2 linked regions of the Tamandua tetradactyla genome follow. The main gene of each other region encodes a partner of the protein of the gene in region 2 in a complex. Links are inferred from orthologs where the notes say so. Each region holds a gene or a part of one and is shown on either strand. Other genes may lie near its edges.

The links. Proteins that work in one complex are often made in the same cells at the same time.
Region 1: RBL1 (region 2) and LIN9 share a complex: the UniProt entries of both Homo sapiens proteins name them as parts of the DREAM complex. The link is inferred for Tamandua tetradactyla from reciprocal best matches to the Homo sapiens genes RBL1 and LIN9.

What each region holds. Positions count from the first base shown.
Region 1 is NC_135333.1:20,289,139-20,299,126, reverse strand, and holds the start of LIN9 (protein lin-9 homolog), read right to left. Parts: upstream 5,406-9,988; 5' UTR 5,371-5,405; coding exon 5,292-5,370; intron 1-5,291. UniProt on the Homo sapiens protein: Acts as a tumor suppressor. Inhibits DNA synthesis. Its ability to inhibit oncogenic transformation is mediated through its association with RB1. Plays a role in the expression of genes required for the G1/S transition.
Region 2 is NC_135327.1:15,175,857-15,185,844, reverse strand, and holds the start of RBL1 (retinoblastoma-like protein 1), read right to left. Parts: upstream 6,710-9,988; 5' UTR 6,658-6,709; coding exon 6,502-6,657; intron 6,400-6,501; exon of another isoform or gene 6,143-6,399; coding exon of another isoform or gene 6,140-6,142; exon of another isoform or gene 6,033-6,139; coding exon of another isoform or gene 5,925-6,032; intron 5,265-5,924; exon of another isoform or gene 3,472-5,264; coding exon of another isoform or gene 3,430-3,471; intron 2,272-3,429; coding exon 2,138-2,271; intron 1-2,137. UniProt on the Homo sapiens protein: Key regulator of entry into cell division. Directly involved in heterochromatin formation by maintaining overall chromatin structure and, in particular, that of constitutive heterochromatin by stabilizing histone methylation.

The DNA.
Region 1 (9,988 bases), on a different chromosome or scaffold from region 2:
ACATCAGGGAAAGAAGTTTTTAAGGGAGTCAGGGAGAGCTAAGGTTAAAATCTCAGTTGGATAGGTATATTACAAAGAAGTCCAAGGCATATGAACAACTGATTTTTCCTCCGCAGGCCAGAATGAGAGGCCTATAGAACAGACAAAGCATTAGCATCAAAGTCATTCTTCTTTTACCCACCTCACTTGTCTATATGTGGAGAATGGATAACAGGACAACTCACCAGCTTCTTTACAACACACTGAAGTTAAATAACCAAAGGCAGTATAGTCAGGAAAAAAAGAAGATGCCATAAATTCTTGCTTAAAAGCCTCAAATAACACAACTTTACAAAGGAGCAGCAGTAGTAGTCAGTGTAAATAGCCACATAGTTAACAAGAGAAATCCAGCTCACTTGAGAAAAAGAAAAAACCATTCACTCTTCAGTGAAAATATATAGAGTACTGACCACATTTGCATGTGCTATAGGTAACCTCCAGAACCACACTGAGAAACACTGGACTACAGGTTCTGATATGAGTAAAGTACAGGATCTGTGGGTGACGGGAAGTAGGAGAAACATTCCTGCTTTAGGCACTGGGGATACAACAACAAGAAAAAGAGCCAGTCTCTGTTCTCATGGAATTTACATCCTAATGAGCGTACACACATGGTGATAACAAGCATTACAGAAAAAACTAAAGCAGAATAACAGGGGATAGACAGTGTGGGGGGACTGGGGTATATGTGAGAAAACTATTAGTTTTACGTAAGTTGCTCATGATTAGCTTCTCTGATAAGGTGACATTTGAGCAGAGATTTGAAGAATTTCTGCTCCACGATGGTAGGAACCATATCTTGGGGATTCTGACCTATCAACTCTAATCTTTTTGTGAGACAGTATAGCACAGTGGTTAAGAGTACTGGCTCTAGATGGAGACTACATACATCTGAATCTTGACTCTGCCACTTCCTGTCTTTGCTACCTTAAGTAAAGTACTTAACCTCTCTGTGCTGCTGATTCTTCATCTGTAAAGTGGGAGTAAATGAGTTAATAATATATGCAAATGTCTTCTGGGCCAAGGGGAGGAAGAGAAGCAATAAAAGATGCCTAAAAAGATGAGGCATCTGGAGCCAAGAGAAATCAGGTGGAGTCCAGAGACTATTCTGGAGGCAACTATTGTGCAAGCTTCAATTAGATAGTACTGATTGCCATGGTTTGCTAAACCCCAACCAGCATCACTCCTGTTGACTCTTGACAATACCTGGGGCTCAAACTGAGACTCTACAGAGGTTTCATGCGCTAAGTTTGCTTTTCTGGAAACTATAACTCCCGGAGGATTCCTAGGTCAGATAAATACTGAAACCCAAAGGAACCAGCCTCTCTAACATTATCAATTAATTAATCGCTCTATCCTTTAGTGTCTACACCCCTTATCAACATGAAGAAGTCAGAAGGGGTGTTGCCCAGGGATCCCTATGGATTGAGAGAGGGATCGAGGGAGAAGAAGTTATAAAAGAGAATAGCATTTAACAGACAAGTATGACTCCTGAATCACTATATTAATCTTCCATCTAGCCTCCAGTGTTTGGGAGCAGCTAAAAGAAAAAATCTGAGATGGCAGAAACTCTGGGATCTGTTCTATAACTATCTGTTGAAGTATGCTTTGAAAATTATTGTTTTCTTTTTTTGTTTTGTATAGATGTTACATCTTACAATAAAAAATGTTTAAAATAATGTATGTAAAAGTGCTAAGAATAGTGTACATACCACATGGCAAATTTTCATTTAGTGTTTATTGTTGGAATTATTTTGATCAATCAATAAGACCTATTAGGTTAATAACATGAATTTACAGGCAGGTAAATCTGATTAAGTTAGAATCCCATTCTAGCTGGATATATTTATTCACTCATGCAGCAAATATTTACTGAATGCCTGGCATAAGCACTAATCTAAGGCTGGGCATATCCCAAGGAACAAGATGGACAAAACCCTGTTCTCAGGGTTCTAGTGAGAACAGACACACAATAAACAAGTAAACAAAAAGATAATTATTATCCATATATATAAAGTAACTCCCCCATACTGATATCACTCTGTTTATTTCCTATAGCAGTTACTTCATATACCATGGTTAGGAAAGGCTGGAAGAGGAAACTTCTGAGAAGGTCTAGCCATAAGAACACAAGGAAGAAGTAATACAGAAGAAACAGAAGGTTAAAACAAAAACTAAAAAAAAAATAACTGAAATTAGCTTAAAATATATTCAAAGAAAGGGAAAAAAGGCCAGTGTGCTTCAAGAGTACCAAACAAGAAAAAGTGGTATGAAATAAGGTCAGAGAGGTAAGCTAGGCCTTATGCATAGAACTGGGGTGCAAGAGTGTTAAAAACAGAACTAGTACCTACTCTGGTGGGGCTTCTAAAATAGTAAAAGGACCAGATGCTAACCAAACAATCACATAAACAAATTAAAAACTGCAACTGTGACAGCTGCCACTAAGGACTTACACAGTGCTATGAGAAAGGTTTTAATAAGTAGTTTAATGCTGTAAGGGAGGACAGAAAATAGCTCTCTGAAGAAGCTAAAATGGAGTCTAAAGGATAAGCTGAAGGTATTTGAAAGTAAGGGGAGGAAAGACCATTTTAGGTGGAGAGAATAGCACATGGAAAGGCACTGCAGAAAAGACATCTTAGTAAATAGAGGGAATGAAAAAGGTCCAAAGTATTTCAAAGGGATAAATGATAGGAAGGTCCAAAATGAGGCTGGAAAGGTGGGACAAGGTAGACCATGCAGGATCTTGTAGCTACTAAAGGCAAGACATATTTACATTTTGAAAAGTTCACTCTGGCTTAAGTGTGAATGTATGTGGGTAAAGGGGTGATGGATTAATGAAAGGTTGAAGTGATTAGTGGAGATAAGAGATGGTGACAGCTTGGACTCAGGTAATGGAGAGAAGCAGGTAGATTTAAGAGACATTTTGAAAGAAAAAGCTACAAGACTTAGTAAAGGCTTAAATATGGGAAATGAAACAGAAGGGAGTACCAAAGATGACCTCTAGGTTTCTTGCCCTGCCAGATGGAGCCATTCATTAAGACAAGGACCACTGAAAATATCTCTGTCCTGGGTTGGTGTCATGAGTTAGATTTTGAGCTTGTAAAATTTGAGGAACTTCTGAGCTATCTAATAGGAGATGTGAAATAAGCAAGAGATGTCAAGAACAAGAGCACAAGGGAAAGATCTGATATAAAATCAAACTAATTAGAGTACTCATCTCAATTGACATGAGGATTAAATGAATAGATTTATGTAAAATGCTTTGCACAGTGTCTGTGCATAGTAAGTACTCGATAAATGGTAGCATTTATTATTGATAATAGTTGCTGGCTATTGGTGAATATATTAGCTAGTCCCCTTGCCTAATCTTGATGAATAAACAAATTATTATTTCCAGTATCAAACTGAAATCACTTTTACTTTTCCTGTTCCAGTATCTTCAGTAATGCCTCTTACCCTATGTTTAATTCCATATAAATCAAGTATTTACATATACTTGATTTGTGACACTGTGTCACAAGCCACATAAGGCAATCTCTGCTTTCACCAAAGCTGCAGTCTAGCTAAACAAGACATGCACACAAGTACATCCCCACTTCCCCAATACAATGTACTAGAGATGTGACAAAGTAATATAAATGATTAGGTTATATAGTCTGAAAGTACAGCCGTGATTTGAACCTACAAAGAAATATGTAAGTCCTAGGTAAATGTTTGGCAACGATAATGCAAATACTCCCAATAAGAGCTATATTAAAAGCCACTTAAAACATCTTTCACTCAAAAGAATGACTGTAGTAACTAAAATAAGTCTATTCTAACTTCTTCTAAGAGGTGATAAAAGTTATCTCTTGGTAAAGATAACGAGGAGGAACATTTAAATAATTTAAAATTCAGTTCCTCAATCACTCAAGCCACATTTCAATGGCTCTATAGCCACATGTGGCTAAAGGTTATCCTAATGGACATCACAGAATAGAACATTTCCATTGCTGAGAAAGTACTATTGGAACTTAGCACTGGCTAGAGTAAATTTAAAACAAAAATACTCTTAATACAACTTTTCACCAGCTTGGCTTAACTAGAACTTGAACTTTTAATTTTAACTTGATAACACATTGAAAATATATATTCCACAAAGAATTGCCTGTATTTGGCTCTAATTTTCAAAGTCTATTTATATTGTGCACTGATAGATTTTTCAGTGATTGAGCCCTTCGTTTTTGTTAAATTAAAACTCTTGCAAATGCTATGTATACATAAACTAAATAGTGAGTGTGGACTCAGAATCTCTTTGTAATTAACTAAAATAAAACATTTGCTTTTCTATATAATTTACGCAATTTAGTAAATTACAAAGTTGCATTCCACTGTGCTTAAACTATGGAATTAGTGCTTTTACGTACTAAACACAAGCGAGAATATATGTTCATGAGATTCCATTGAGGCAGAGTGAGTAGACATGGCTAAGTGAAGCAATGCACAGGCGTGGGCGTCAGGAGTACTGTACAGGTACACTGGTTGGTCACATCAATATGTCCAAGGTACCCCCATGACTCTCAAGATACGCACACGCAGGAGAAAGTCTGTGGGGATGAAGGCTACCTGTGCCGTAAGTATCCAGTCTGGATTATCTCTGGAAGGATCCACTGCCACCTGTGGTCCCACAAAGGGCAGCCCCTTGACATGGAAACACTCCCAGAGGTGGGCACATCGCGGGGGGAGGTGTGACAGTGAAGACCACAAGTGCCTGGACAGGTAACAACTGGGGCAGGACTCCGTCTGAAGGTGGGGCAAGAAGAAAGGGCAGGTGGCTACCCCCTCCCCGGCCGAGTCCTCCCCGGGCCCGGGGACAGGAGCATTACATAACCCATGCCGGTGTCTCTCCGCGCCAGGCGAGCGGTGCGGGCGGCGGACACAGTCCCCGCGGCCGGGGGCAGCTCTTCTCCCACCAAGGCCGGGGGCCGGAGTCCGGCCAGGGGAGCAGCCACCGCCTCCGCCCGACACCGGCTGGGCTCTCCGGCTTTCGGTTTCCGGCCCTGGCGCTCCCACAACCCCAGAAACCAATACACAGACACCATAACAAAGGCGGCGACGCGGCAGCAACACAGGAGTGGGAGGACTAGGAGCACCTAGTGGGACTGGCAGTCAGCCCACCCGGTCGGCGGAGGGCACGCCATCTGTCCCGGCCGCTGCAGCCCGGGGCAGGCGACCGCTGGGAGGAAAGGGGGGTGCTTTGAGGTGCTACTCACTCTCGTCGGGCAACTGGTCGAGCTCCGCCATCTTGAACGAGCCGCGCCGCTTTTTCAAAGGCTGCCCGCCGCGGTGCATTGTGGGGCGGAGACTGTCTTAGCGAGGGAGGTTCGAATGCGGAGCTCGCTGCCTGCCGCGCTGCCGGGCGCTGCTCCCGTCGCGGTGGCCCGAGGCCCGGCTCCGCCCGCTGCTGGCGGCCGAGGGGGTGCGGTGGGGCGGGTTGCGCCTCGCCCCTTGCCCCCGCCCCGGCCCGGCGCTGGAGCGCTGAGGGAGCAACGCGAGCTCCCGCGTCCCGCCCGGGCCCGGCGCCGGGTCTCGCGCTGCCGCTGCGGGAACTGCAGGCTGTTTGTTCCGAGTGGGAAGAGGGAGGGAAGCCGGGAGAGGCCCGGCGGGCTGAGGCGGGAGCGGGAGGAGGCGCCTGGAGGCCCGTCATGGGAGAGAAGCCCTGGCTCTCGGTCGCTTTACCCCATGGAACCCCATACGGAGTAAATTTGCCAAGGTTCCCCAAGCCCGCGTTTCTTCTGTGCTTCCATCCCTTTCTCTTTGGAAGAGCGAGGGGAGGAGGCCACAGCTGCCCCACAGCCACTGGGTCCAACGCTTGGGGTTCGCCGCGGCCCGTGGCGAACCGAGGCGCCTCGTTACCTGTGATGCTGGAACCGGAGCCGCGCAGGGCCTGAGAGGGACCTGAAGGAGTCCTCAAGTTAGTCTTCTAGGCCAGCCTTTAAAGAACTGTTCTTTAATCCACTGGACACAGGATCATGTAGTGAGCTAGGAGAGAATTACAAAATGAGTAACAGAAGGTTTTGTAAGGTTATAGACAAGAACCCAGTAGGGACACTACAAGGTTGAGAAAGCACTCTGATAAAAGTGTTATGGAAACACTGGATGAGAGAATTCATCCTGTTTTGAATGAAGCCCAGGAAAAAATTTCACAATTCTTGTCTCTAACACTGTCCAGTAATAAACCATTGCTACTTTTCTACAACTAATTTAACAAATGCAGAACTCCAATCCTTTCCCTTCAAGAATCTGGTGCGGGTGGAGGTGGCAGAAGAGGTCCTAAGCAATGAAAATAGCATGGGTGAATTCCAGGAACTAAAAAGTTGAAAAGTGGTAGAAAGACTGAGATGAGGACAGAACAAAACACAGAGGCCAGCCCAGGCTAAGGAGTTGGACTGTTTGAACAGTGGCACAACAGAGGTCAGGCTTTAAATAATGGGGTAGCAGGTTCCATTTTTGTTTTAGAGCAAACGTGGAAAATTAATTGGAGGGGGACAAGATGAAAGTCTTGGAAATCAGTCAGGAGGAAACTTGGGCCAGGAAGAGAAGAGAGATATCTGCCTGCACTAATGGCTGTGGAGTTTCAGAGAGGGCCAGAAGGACTAGGTTGGAATTATGGCTGCTATCTGTGAAATCTCAGGCAAGTTTCTTAATTTCCTGTGCTTCATTTTCTCATCTATAAAATTCAAATAATAATAATGGGGTTATTTTGAGGATAATGAGTTGATGTAAAATCCTGATGATAATTCCTAGCATGCATTTTGGTCAAATGTTAGCTACTGCTACTGCTATGACTACTTCTAAACAGGAAGTATTGAAGGAGATGGAGGGACACGATGCATTCTGTCTCTCAAGAGGTGTGGAAAAAGACAGGACTTGGTGATTCATAGTTTGTGAGGAAAAAGGGGTGTCACGGATAATGCCAAGTTTCTGCCTTAGGAAAGTGGGTGGAAAGAGCCGTCACTTATTGAGGTAGGAAAGGGAGCAGGGTGTGAATGGGAAGGATGAAAGTTCAATTTTACAGAGTAATCTTTCCTTCATAACTAACTTAACCCCTGCTATGCCTTCTAAACACATTCTGATCTGTTCTTTAAGATGAAAAGCACTGGAAGTTTCAGCAACTTGGAGATGAGTTCAAGAGAAGGCCACCTCTCTGAGACTGAAAGAATAGATATAAACAAAACATGAATATCAGATCAAAATAAACCACGTTTTATCCTAAGGCACGTTTTTGTTTGTTTGTTTGTTTTGTTTTTTTTGCATGGGCAGGTACTAGGAAACAAACCCGGGTCTCTGGCATGGCAGGCGAGAACTCTGCCTGCTGAGCCACCGTGGCCCACCCCCTAAGGCAGTTTTCTTAAAACAAGAACTGAAACCTCCAGCAAGAATGGTATTTAAGTGAAGATTTTTAGGCCCTTCCCTGATAATCTGCCTGTTAAGCAAAAACTCTAAATGAAGCTGTTTTCCAAGTCCAGATCTACCACTTGTTAGCAGCTAGGCCCTTCACTATTATTTTCGGTGAGGTTCTTTATTGGGTATTTATGAAAGGTTTTATAACCATTGACTTACTTGATCTTCTCAACAACCTGGTAACATGTCCAAGAACAGCAGTGACTAACTGATAGAACCAGAAATCTAGCTCACTCTCAGCACCTCAGTTTTTCTTCTGTTCTGTGAGGAAAGCAGGTATACACAGAGTTGTTTAATTTCCACCATAACATAATTGTATAAGTGTAGTTGTTTGCTTTGTTTTTAAACTAAAATTTGGATAAGGACACTGTTCTAGTTTGCTAGCCACAGGAATGCAATATACTAGGAACAAAATGGCTTTTAAAAGGGGGAATTTATTAAGTTGCAAGTCCACAGTTCTAAGGCCGTGGAAATGTCCCAACTAAAGCAAGTTATAGAAATGTTCAATCTAAGGCATCCAGGGAAAGATACCTTGATTCAGGAAGCCTGATGACGTTTATGGTTTCTCTCTCAACTGGAAAGGCACTTGGCGAACATGGCTATGTCTGCTAGCTTTCTCTCCTGGCTTCATGAAGCTCCCCCGAGGGCATTCTCCTTCTTCATCTCCAAAGGTCTCTGGCTGCACAGGCTCTGTTGTGGCTCTAAAAAAGGGTCTCTCTCCAAAATGTTTCCTCTTTTAAAGGATTCCAGTCAAGGCCCACCAGGAATGGGTGGAGTCACATCTCCCTCTAATCAAAAGTTAATACCCACAATCGGGTGAGTGACATCTCCATGGGAACAATCAAAAACTCTCAGCCAGCAATATTGAATGAGGATTAAAGGACATGGCTTTTCTGGGGTCCACAAATTCAAACCAGCACAGACACCGTGACAGTTAATTTCATATGTCAACTCAAAATAGGTCATGGTGTCTAGTTGTGTGGTAAAGCACTGGACTTTTTGTTACTATGAAGGTTTTTGAGGTAGAATTTTCATCTATAATCAATTGATTATATCTACCATCAATGCCTTAGTTTGCCAGAGCTGCTACATCAAATACTACACAATGGGTTGGCTTAAACAATAAAAATGTATTGGCCTACAGCTTGGAGGCTAGAAGTCCAAAATTGAGACTTCGGCAAAGCCATGCCTTCTCCCAGAGACACAAGCATTCTAGTGATGGCAGTCCTCTGTCACGTGGCCATGTCACTCTCTGGCATCTCCTACTTCTGGATTCTAAGAACTTCTGACTTCTTCTGACTGGCTGTGTCTGAATTTCTTCTCTTTATAAGGCCTTCAGTAATACAGATTAAGGCTCACCCTGATCCAATTTGGCTTCATCTAAATAGGATCTCCAAAGATCCTATTCACAAATTGTGCTGGTTTGAAAGGAAGTATGCCCCCTAAGAAAAGCCATGTTTTAATATAAATTCCATTTCATAAAGGTAGAATAATCCCTATTCAATACTGTATATTTGAAACTGTAATGAGATCATCTCCCTGGTTGAGGTGATTTAGTCAAGAATGATTGATAAACTGGATTAGGGGATGACATGTCTCCACCCATTTGAGTGGGTCCTGATTGGTTTACTGGAGTCCTATAAAAGAGGAAACATTTTGGAGAAAGAGATTCAGAGAGATTCAGAGAGAGCAACACTATGAAGCAGAGAGTGCACCAGCCAGTGGCCTTTGAAGATGAAGAAGGAAAACGCCTCCTGGGGAGCTTCATGAAACAGGAAGCCAGGAGAAGAAGCTAGGAGATGATGCTGTGTTCGTCACATGCCCTTCCAGCCGAGAGAGAAGCACTGACTGTGTTCGCCATGTGCCTTCTCACTTGAGAGAGAAACCCTGAACTTCATTGGCCTTCTTGAACCAAGGTATCTTTCCCCGGATGCCTTTGATTGGACATTTCCATAGACTTGTTTTAATTGGAACATTTTCTCGGCCTTAGAACTGTAAACTAGCAACTCATTAAATTCCCCTTGTCAAAAGCCATTCTGTTTCTGGTATATTGCATTCCGGCAGCTAGCAAACTAGAACACAAATTAATCCGTACTTAACTAATAAAACATCTTCAAAGGTCCTATTTATAAATGGGTTCACAGCCACAGGAAAGGGGATTAAAGTTTGAACATATCTTTTGTGGAGGATGTGATTCAACTTCCAGCAATCAACAAAGGAGATTGCCTTTAGCAATGTAGGGAATCTCACCAATCAATGGAGGTCTTAAAAGCCAGAATTGAGAGTTTCAGAAGTCAAAAGAAGAATTTGGACTCAACTTCAGCATTAACTCTTCCTGGAGTTTCCAACCAGCCAGCGTTCTTGTGGGGATTTAGACTAAGAACTTCATCATCACCTTTATCTAAATTTTCAGCTTGGGTCCTGCCCTACAGAGCTCAGAGTTGCCAGTCCCTGTGATTGCATAAGCCAATTCCTTATAATAAATCATGTATATATATATGACTTA
Region 2 (9,988 bases):
TTTTGTTCAGTTTTTCCAACAACCTATCATTACAAAGATTTAAAAATTTGTATATGGTCAGCAATGAGAAACACTGACAGAAAATATCAGATTGTTTTATACTACAACAGATAAGGTTTTGTTCAATTAAAAAAAAACTATTTTAAACCCATCAATCTTTTTCTTTTACCCCCAGAGTTTAGGACTTCTAATTTGTCTCAAAATCACTGAAACAAAATTCAAGATAAAACATTCTGTTTTCCTTTACAACCCCTCAACACAAAAAACTATTTGTAGGAAAAAAATGGTTTTATACATGGGATAAAACGATATAAATTCAAAACTTACAGATAAGGGTTAGCTCTATAAATTATCTCTTTTAAAAAGTTTATATGAATATTTAGTCTAAACCAATAGGACTTCTCCCTTGAAATGTTATCTATATGTTATTTCCGAGTAGACTACAGTACTTATACTGTCTTAGAATGTCCTCAGAAGGCTCTGTCATTGATCAGGTAACAGAGTAAAAACCCCAGAGTTCTTTCTTTCAAATGGAAGACATAGACAGGAACAGAAGAAACTATTCAAATTTCATCTTCTTTCCTTGTGGCTTGTGGTCTCTTCCAACTCTGCTTCCTTGCCCTCCAAAGCCTCCCTGGCCTCTGCCACCACTAAATCACCCTCAGCCTCCTCTGCCACCAGCTCTGTAAACCTATCAATCTTGATTATATTTTCATTTTTATCATCATGGCAAGAAAAATTATCTATTAAAGTTTTTTAATCATCCTGACTTTACTTTTCTATAAACAAGAACCAAAATTGTTTGAGCTTTTTTTTTTTTTTAATTTAGTACTGAACTGAAACCTATTTACCATCCCTAGATAGTGCTTTAAAGTTTCTTCTTTTCTACTCTGGAAACACAGAGATAGCAGACACAATTATCCCCAACAGTTCTGTCCCAGGTGAAAATCAGAAACAGAAAACATTAGCACCTATCCAAACCTGGATCACTCCATTTATTTTGCTTCCTAAAGTCAAACAGTTCCATATGGTTGAAACTAGAGAAAGTAAAAGCAGTAGCTAAGACTCATACATTGCTTGTTAAGTGCAAGGGAAAAAAATTAAACAGTATAAAAATATGACAACTTGACCAGAAGATCAAAATTAACATCACCAGTGAGGGGCAGATGGCCATCATGCGCCTCCAGGTGTGATATCCTGAGAACACAATATCACTTTGGGGATTTCATCCAGAAATGTATAACCTGCATCTAATCATAAGGAAACATCAGAGAAATCTCAAAAGACAACAATCTATTTACGAAGTGGATGAGGTGGTGTGGACTATATTCTTCAAAATAGGAATGTCCACAAAGACAAAGAAAGGCTGTAGAAATGTTCTTGGTTAAAGGAAAAACTAAAGAGATATAAGTGAATACAATATTCGGTCTCAGATTAGAAATTGTAGTCAAAGAAAAAATATGCTATAAAAGACATAACTGGGGTGGGCCACAGTGGCTCAGCAGGCAGAATTCTCACCTGCCATGCCAGAGACCCACGTTTGATTCCTGGTGCCCGCCCATGAGAAAAAAAAAGACATTACTGGGTCAACTGGAAAAAAAAACCTAGAATATAGATGGTAGATTAGATACAATTATTTAAATAATGCTAGATTTGCTGAAGTTGATAACTTTTATTTAAGAAAACATAAATTGAAGTACTTGGGACAAAGGTCTATAACGTATGCTTTTACTTTGAAATGGCTGAGGAAAATATTATTTAAGAGAGAGTAATATCTTTAAGGGAGAAAGATCAAATGATAAAGCAATAGGTGAATCTAGATAAAGGGTATACGAATGCTCTTTGTATTTTTCTTATTTTTGCAATTTTTCTATAAGCTTGAAATTATTTCCAGATAAGAAAAAATTTGTATGAAAAAAATTTATAGCTAAAAAAGATCTAGCATAGAGGCCTCTGAATGAAGCCAGAATTGGGGGAAGTAAGGCAAAGGAAGAATGTGAGGAGTAGGAAAAGATGCACGTGTGATAAACTGAACCAGGATTGAATGAAATCAAATGATTTAAAATAAAGAAAAATCATATTCTAAAATTAAATTTATAATATATAAAACAACATTTGAAAAATCAAAATACTTTACCTTAATTTAGCTGAACGTAGTATTCTGGTAAGTGACACACAATTTCCTTCCATAACACCCCTTCCAACTGTGGGAATAATGCTTTTACGGCATGCAACATATAATGAACATGCCAACCAGTGTATAACTTCTCCCTGGCAGGCAAAAGACAAACAGCAAAATGGATATGCTATTATGTTAAAATACCTGAATTTTAGAGCCAGAAGAGCTCTTATTTTGTATAATTTTCCTTCCGGAGGTAAAGGCCAGGGAAGTAAAGATACCTACCCAAAATCACAAAGCTAAATTAGTTGTAGTGTTATAAAATTCCTTAGTCTTAGTCCTGTTTTCTTACAATATAACATGCTAAATCAGTATATTAATCTCTCACCTATCCCCCAAATCTAATATTCCTGAAAGAGTTCTCTTTAATTTTGCAGCCTTAGCTTTCTCAACTTTGACTTTGAGGATACTGAAGTTCCATTCCTTTCTACTATTTTAGTTTTATGCTTCTTTTTTAACTAGTTTGACAGAGAAAGAAAAGGGCACAGCATAAAAAAGACTATCATTTTTGTGAAGTAAAAATTGGGGGACTAATTTACCCCAAAACATGTTTAAAATAGAAAGTATGACTTTTCATCTTAGTAGATATCTTCTTCTTTTATTCAGAATATTGTGAAATTTTATGGCTATATTGAACATGCAATCTGCAATATATGTGTTCACAACTGAATAATTGCTGATGTTTGGTATGACCAAATTCAAGAGTGTGGGTGAGGCAGACATTTTTTATGCATGGTTCACAGTCTCTCTGCCACCCTGGTGGTCATCTGCAATCTCCTTCAGCTTTTTCCATCTCTTTTCCTGAAAAAAGTCTCTGGTAAAGAAGCATATTTGATCTGTTCATAAGGTAGGCTGGAAATGCTAGGAAATCAACATCCTGTGAGACTATTCTCAATCAAAGGGTGATAGGAAATGCTGGAAAATACTTCAGCTGCCTTGTCCCTTCAGGGAATATTAAGATGTATTCTACACAATCTTTGAAATAGTCCACAAGGGAATTGAGCCCCAGCTGCTCAAAGCATTAGCTCTTCTTTTTTTAACAAATTTTCCCTTCTACTCCCCTCCCAATCTCTGATCTGTTTTCTATATCCCCAAATTTGCGACTTTTAATTATCTAAGTGCTATCACACAATTTTTGTCCTTATGTGCCCTGCTTTTTTCACTGAGCATAATGTTCCTTCCATATTGCAGCATGCCTCATAATTTAATTTTTTCATAGGGCTAAATAATATTCCAATGTGTGAACATACCACATTTTGTTTGTTCATCCTGGACGCTTGGGTTGTTTCCATCTTTTGGTTTCTGTAAATAATGCTGCTAGAAACACTGGCATTCGGGTTATCTGTTTGAGATCCTGCTTTAGTTCTCTTTGGAAATACACCTAGAAGTGGAATTGCCAGATCATATGCTAACTCTATATTTAACTTTTTTGAGGAACTACCATATTGCTTTCTACAGTGGCTGCACCATTTTACATTCCTACCAACACACTAGAGTGCCAATTCCTCCACATCCTCTACAACACTTCTGATTGGTTTTTTTTTTTTCTAATAACCATCCTTTGTGGGTGTAAAGTGGTATCTCATTGTGGATTTGATTTGCATTTCCCTAATGCCTAATGATGTTGAGCCTCTTTTCATGTGCTTATTGGCTGTTTGAATATCTTCTTTGGATAAATGTCTAAGTCCTTCGCCCATTTTTAACTGGGTTGACATTGTGTTTTTGAGTAGTAGCTCTTTACATATTCTGGTATTAAGCCCTTATTCAATATGTGGTTTGAAACCATTTTCTCCCATTCTGTAGGTTGTCTTTTTACTTTCTTGATAATTTTCTTCAATGCACAAAAGCGAGTCTTAATTTCAATGCTACAATAAAGATGGCATTTGAGAATTCAACATTTAATTCTGTTTTAGATGTAAGATATCTCCAAGCTAGAATTATTTCATGACTTCATTGCAAAAACGTAGACAGATTTTAAGGATTAATAATTACAGACACAAATTTCATAGCACAGCACAATATTGTTCCTATTCACTGTTCTGCAGATCATTCTTAAGGCCAGACTCCAGAAGACTAAATATATTGATAAAAAAGATTTCTCGCAACAAATCAAAAAAAGGGGCAGGTAGAAATAAGTAACAAGTAATAAAACTGAGACCATCGAATGTTCATACCCTAAAATAATCAGGAAAAAATAAGTTTGTTCAAGGCCTCAGATGAGGCAGGGAAGCTTAAGGTTGAATAGTTTTGGAATTGTTTGGGAATAGCATCTACATATTACAGAGCCTTTGTGTACTGGATGAAAACATTTACTTAGTAAAACAGAGAATATATAAGTACTAGAATTATGCTTTGATTTTTTAGAATGAAGAGAAATATATACTATTATCTATAACTGGTGGGATATATGCTATAAAAGAGGAATTAAGATGTTATGGGAGAATATAGCATGGAGAATAATTTTCAATGGAAGTCAGGGAAGGCTTCACAGAGGGAGACTTAAAATTGATAAATGGTAAATCGCCAAAAATGTAACAGGGAGCTTGTCAAGTGGACTGGAAAATGATAGGAGACAGAGAGAAGAGCTCTTAGGAACAGCAGAAACATATGAAAATGTCTACTCCAAGTGCCTTTCACCAAAAACCTAAGGAAAAAAAAAAAGGGAAAACAGAACACTCTGGATAGAATAAACACCAACAAAATCTCGATATATGCACGTGAGCTTCCTAAATCAAACATTTAAGATGCCCTAATCAACTCTTCTTAATTGAAAATTTAGCTCTTCAACTTTCCTAGGGAAGGAGGGGTGAGGGAAAAAATTCCAGGCACAAAACTGGAAGCAAGCATGGCACATTAAAGGACAAGAAAGAGGTACTTAGTTTAATGCCTTGACCATAGTTGATACTCAGCAAATGTATATTTAATGAGATCAAACGAGGACCTGGGATATCAGATATGCTTTCTTAGGCTTTCAAAAGTCAATCTCTTCTCAATTAAGAGGTCATAATTCACATTATCCCTTACTTTTTCTTTCCTTAGCCTTCCAGGCATGCCACCCATGGACGCAGATCACTGTCCTTTACCGGATCCTAACCTGGCCCCACCCCCACCCCAGCCCAGCCCAGCCCACCCCTCCCCCTCCCTGTGGCATGGTGGGAGTTTCCCCACGCAGAGAGTTTCTGTCAGGTACTCTTTCCTCATATATAGACGTAGTATATTCTACACCAAATTTCCAACTCTAAAACAATTTCACTCACCTGGTGGCCTGTGTATGGGTCCACCTCCCTCGGATCATAAATGCCTTGAACATAAAACTACTAGAGCACTACGCTGAAATATATTCCATCACAATTCTTTCGCTACACTGGGCCCCAAAGTCTACGGGCTTACACTTGCCTGGGCTTCTTAATAGCTGAATGACCACAGCAAAATAATCCTCTGGTTCTTAACATTACCTGGAAAGTAGGTATAATAGTATCTTACCACATTCACAGGGCTGCTGCGAGGACTAAATGCAAGAACGCTTGGGGAAAATCTAATAACGATAGCTGAAATTCATCTTATACAAAGCCAAATACTGTGCTAAACATCAGGATAGTCTCATTTTCTCCTCCCACCAACCAAATGAGTTAGGAACTATTATTTCCACCTAGCAGAGGAGGAAGGGCCTGAGTGGCAAGTACTGAATGCACACTGGCTTTGAGCAAACTGCTGTACAGGGCAGGCTGCAAAGTGAGTAACCTACCCCTCCTCTCCAATGAGGCAGAAGGGTGGAGAGGTTAAATGGCTCAGACATCACTAACCATGTACCTCTCGACAAGTATTTAACTTCTTTGTGGTTCATCTTCCTCATCTATAAAACAGGGATCACAGAACGTGTGCAAAGGTTGTGACCGGAACTGAGATGACACATTTAAAGTGTGAGCAGTGTCCTGGCATGTTACTCATTTTGGTGTTTACCATGTTCCCATTTGCTTGTTTTAAGGCAGTACCAGGGCGTTGGTGGCGGTTGGCGAGGCTGAGGGAGGTCTGATCTGGAAGTCTGGGGAACCCCTGTTTGGCGCGTGACCTTGGACATGCCGCTCCTTTTCTAGGCTTCAGTTTCCCGCTTCAAAAATGGGTAGGGTGACCGATCTACATCCGCCCTTCCAGCTCTGCACTCCTCGGAGCCCGGCTGCGCAGCGACCCTTCTCGGTGGGGAAACTCCCACCACCCCACAGGGTAGGGGTTCGGGTGAGGCAGGGGCGGGGCGGGGGTGGGGCCTGGACGCTAGCCCGCTCCGCGGAGGGTCGGGTCCGGCTGCCCCACCTGCCGCCGCTCACCTCTAGGCTGTAGTTGCCCTGGATGGCGGTGAAGTCGTCCAGGGCTTCGGCCGCACTCCCCTCATCCAGGTTCAGCTCCTGGCACAAGGCCTGCAGCGCTTCCCGGGCCGCGGCGACCACCGCCGCCCCCTCAACGTGGGGCACGTCTTCGAACATCCCCTCAGCCCCGAGGACCGCGCGGCTCCAGGCCCCAGCTCCTTTCTCCCGCCCCAGCTCCTTTCTCCCACCCCGGCGCGCTACCCACAATCACCCGCGCCAAAGCGCGCGAAAATGGGCGACTTCGGAGCTTCTCTTCAGTCGTCTGCCTCCGCTGTTCTCCTAAAAGTCCTTTTCTCCTTTCGTGCTCCCAGCTTTCCCTTTCCGCAATTGTGATAAGAAGATGGACTAGGGATCCCGGAAAAACTTCTCCTAGCCCGTAAGGGGTCGCGGAGGTCCAGCCGGCAGGACGAATCGAGGCGGAGGGATCTGAGGCTCGCGCGCGGAGACTGCTGGACGCTGTAGTCCGTAGCGTGCCCAGAAGGGCTCTTTTCCTTGGTTCTTTAACCTGGCTGCCGGTTGGCAGGTGATCTTATTCATCTCAGGGAGACAGACGAATCCTCTTCTATCCGGCCAGCGGCCCTGGCTTTGTTTATATTCTGGGCGCCACGTGTAGTTAGTCCCTTCAGTTAGGGAATGGAGGCGGGAGCAGAGAAAAGTGGCCCCCCTGAACCCGGGACCTCGCGTCAGCAATCTTCCTATCTAGCGCCCAGTGTGAGTGGCTGTCGAATGGCTAAATGAATATGCCCTGGTTTTATCACAGGGCTGGTGAGGCAAGTATGTTAGGGTACATTTTCCCACCTCATTTTAATCGCTGAATGAGGCTTGGTCTCAGATGACAACTGCAGTAAGGGGGCCCTTTCCTAGCTTCCTAGACTCTGGGAACTTTCCCAGTAAAGACATTCATTCCAGACTTAGGAACGGCCTGAGCCTAAAACTGCAGACAAGGAATTCACAGTTTACCCTTCTGTTCCATCAAAACTCCTCCTCCTGGAAGAGCCAGAATCACTCTCTAGATCACCTTTATAGAAGGCAAATCAGAGCTCAGAATTTTTCAATGGATTCTCCTTGCCCTTAAAAAGATATCGGAACTCTTTTCCATGGTCTACAAGATCCTTCGTGGTCTGACTTAGCCTCATCTAGTGCATTATCCCCCAAGGTATAAAGTTCAGCCCCACTACTTTTAGACCCTAATGCAAGCTGCCAAGCTTGTTCCTGCCTTGAGGCCTTTCTCATATGCTGATCATTTGCTTGTCTGGCTTCTGCTCATCATTCAAGTTAATTGTCACCTTCTCAGGCCATCCCTGAACGCTGTATCTAAGGTAGAGGACCCTATTCCTCAAAACCCGTTTCATTGTCTTCATAGCACCTTACTACTATCTGGAATTTACTTATTTCCTAATGACTGTCTCTTCCTACTAAAATGTGAGTTGCATGAGAGCAGGGACCTTCCTTTCATATTCACCAATGTATTTCCAATGGTTAGATCAGTGCCTGATACATAGTAGGCATTCAGTACTCAGCCCAGTGTTTTACAAAATTACAAAGAGCCCATTGTTGCTTGGATAATGGGATGCAGTCACCAGAGACAGAAATGAAGACCAGTCAAAGTAGGTTGTGAAAGACTTCACATACAATCTAAGAGCCTGGACATTATCTTCAAGGCAGCCAAGATTATAAAGCAGGGTGGTAATGATCATTCTGTGTTTTGGACAGATCCTTTTAGCTGTGGTGTGACACATGGATGAGACTGGAGGTAGGGAGTCTTCTTCTGGGGAGCCAATACAAAAGTTCAGCCAAGAGATGGTGGGTCCAGCAGAAGAAGTGAGCTTGGAGAGAAGCCTCTGGCCTAGAACTGGAGGGGCCACGGCTGAAGAAAGGGGAGTCCCCGATAACACAAGCTTCCGTGAGAGCTAAGGTGGTAAAGTTTATGCTGTAACCTGGGATGGGAGCACAAGCAGAGGGATGACAGTAGTTCAGGAGCCACTGAGTTTTTGAGATGCTTATAGGAAGTTTAAGTGGAGGCTGTTGGGTCATGGAAGGTAGCCCCTCCCTCCTGGCAAATTTTCATTCTGTAATTCTTCATACAAGGAGAGGGGTGGGATTTTGAAACCAGCTGCAAGCCAGGTCCCAAATGAGCAAAAGCTCTAGCTAACCCCCTGCCTCCCCCCCCCAAAAAAACCTCAAACAGAACCACCAATGTGATATCTCCAACTCTGCTTCGCTCTAGAAGTTACTGCTGCAGCTGACTTCAGGTCCATTTCATTATTCTCTGGAGGGGATGTTGGCATGCAATATCAGCACACAGACTCTCCTCTTGTGAATTTTTACCCATTTAAGAGAGTTGGTTATGTGCAGTGCTTAGGGCCCTGAAACGGGTTATCATTCCTCCTTCTAACTCCCTTTCCTGGTGTGATTATAGTCAGCAAAGAAATAACAGGATTAGTGAAGGTGAGGTGGTTGAAGGGTTTCCTGAGTGGTTGATTTGTTTTCTAATTAACCTACGTGCTTATTTAAGAGAGCTTACATCTCAGTAGAGAGCTCTGCAAGTTGGATAGCCTGGACATGAGGATTTATAAATCCTCAGTAGTACCTGAAGCCAAGGGAGCAGGTTTATATCACTCATGGAATGTATTGGCATGAGAAGAGACCCATGTATTGAACCCTTAGAATGCCAACATTTATGGGATGGGCAGAATCTGAGGAGTGAGGAAAATAGGAGACTGGGTCATACAGATATAAAAACAAGAAACAGTATCTTAGAGGCCAGGAAGAAGTATTTCATAGAGTCTGACACTGCAGAGAATGCAAACAGGATGAGGAATTCAAAGACCTCATATTATCATTGGTATATTTTGGGAATCTCTGCCAGAGCAGTTTTCCTTAGCACAGGGGTAGAAACCAGATTACTGTGGTTGAGAGGCTAGCAAGAGGAACATTAGAACGTTGAGGTAGGAAGTAAAAATTCTTTAAGATGTTTAGTGGAGGAGAGGTAAAGGAAGAGTATTTTCCAGGATAGGGGAAACTCAAGAAAGTTAATAATCAGGGGTAGGACCAGACAGAGAGAGACTGAAGATAAAAAGAGATAAATGATATGCCTACATGTACAAGATACTGATTCTTCCTTTGCCATGACTTTTGGATCATCCAGACTTGAAATGAGGGGTATTGTTGGCTTGAAAGTGATCCAAGAACAAAAGAAACAGCTCTCAAGGATCATCCACCAAACAGATAAAAACAGAAACGGTATACCTGTTTTCTTCTCTTTGGGACTTGTTCTAGTTTGCTAGCTGCTGGAATGTGATATAGCAGAAACGGAGTGACTTTAAAAAGGGGGGATTTAATAACTTGCTAGTTTATAGTTCTAAGGCCAAGAAAATGTCCCAGTTAAAACATGTCTATAGAAATGTCCACTCTAAGGCATCCAGGGAACGATACCTTGGTTCAAGAA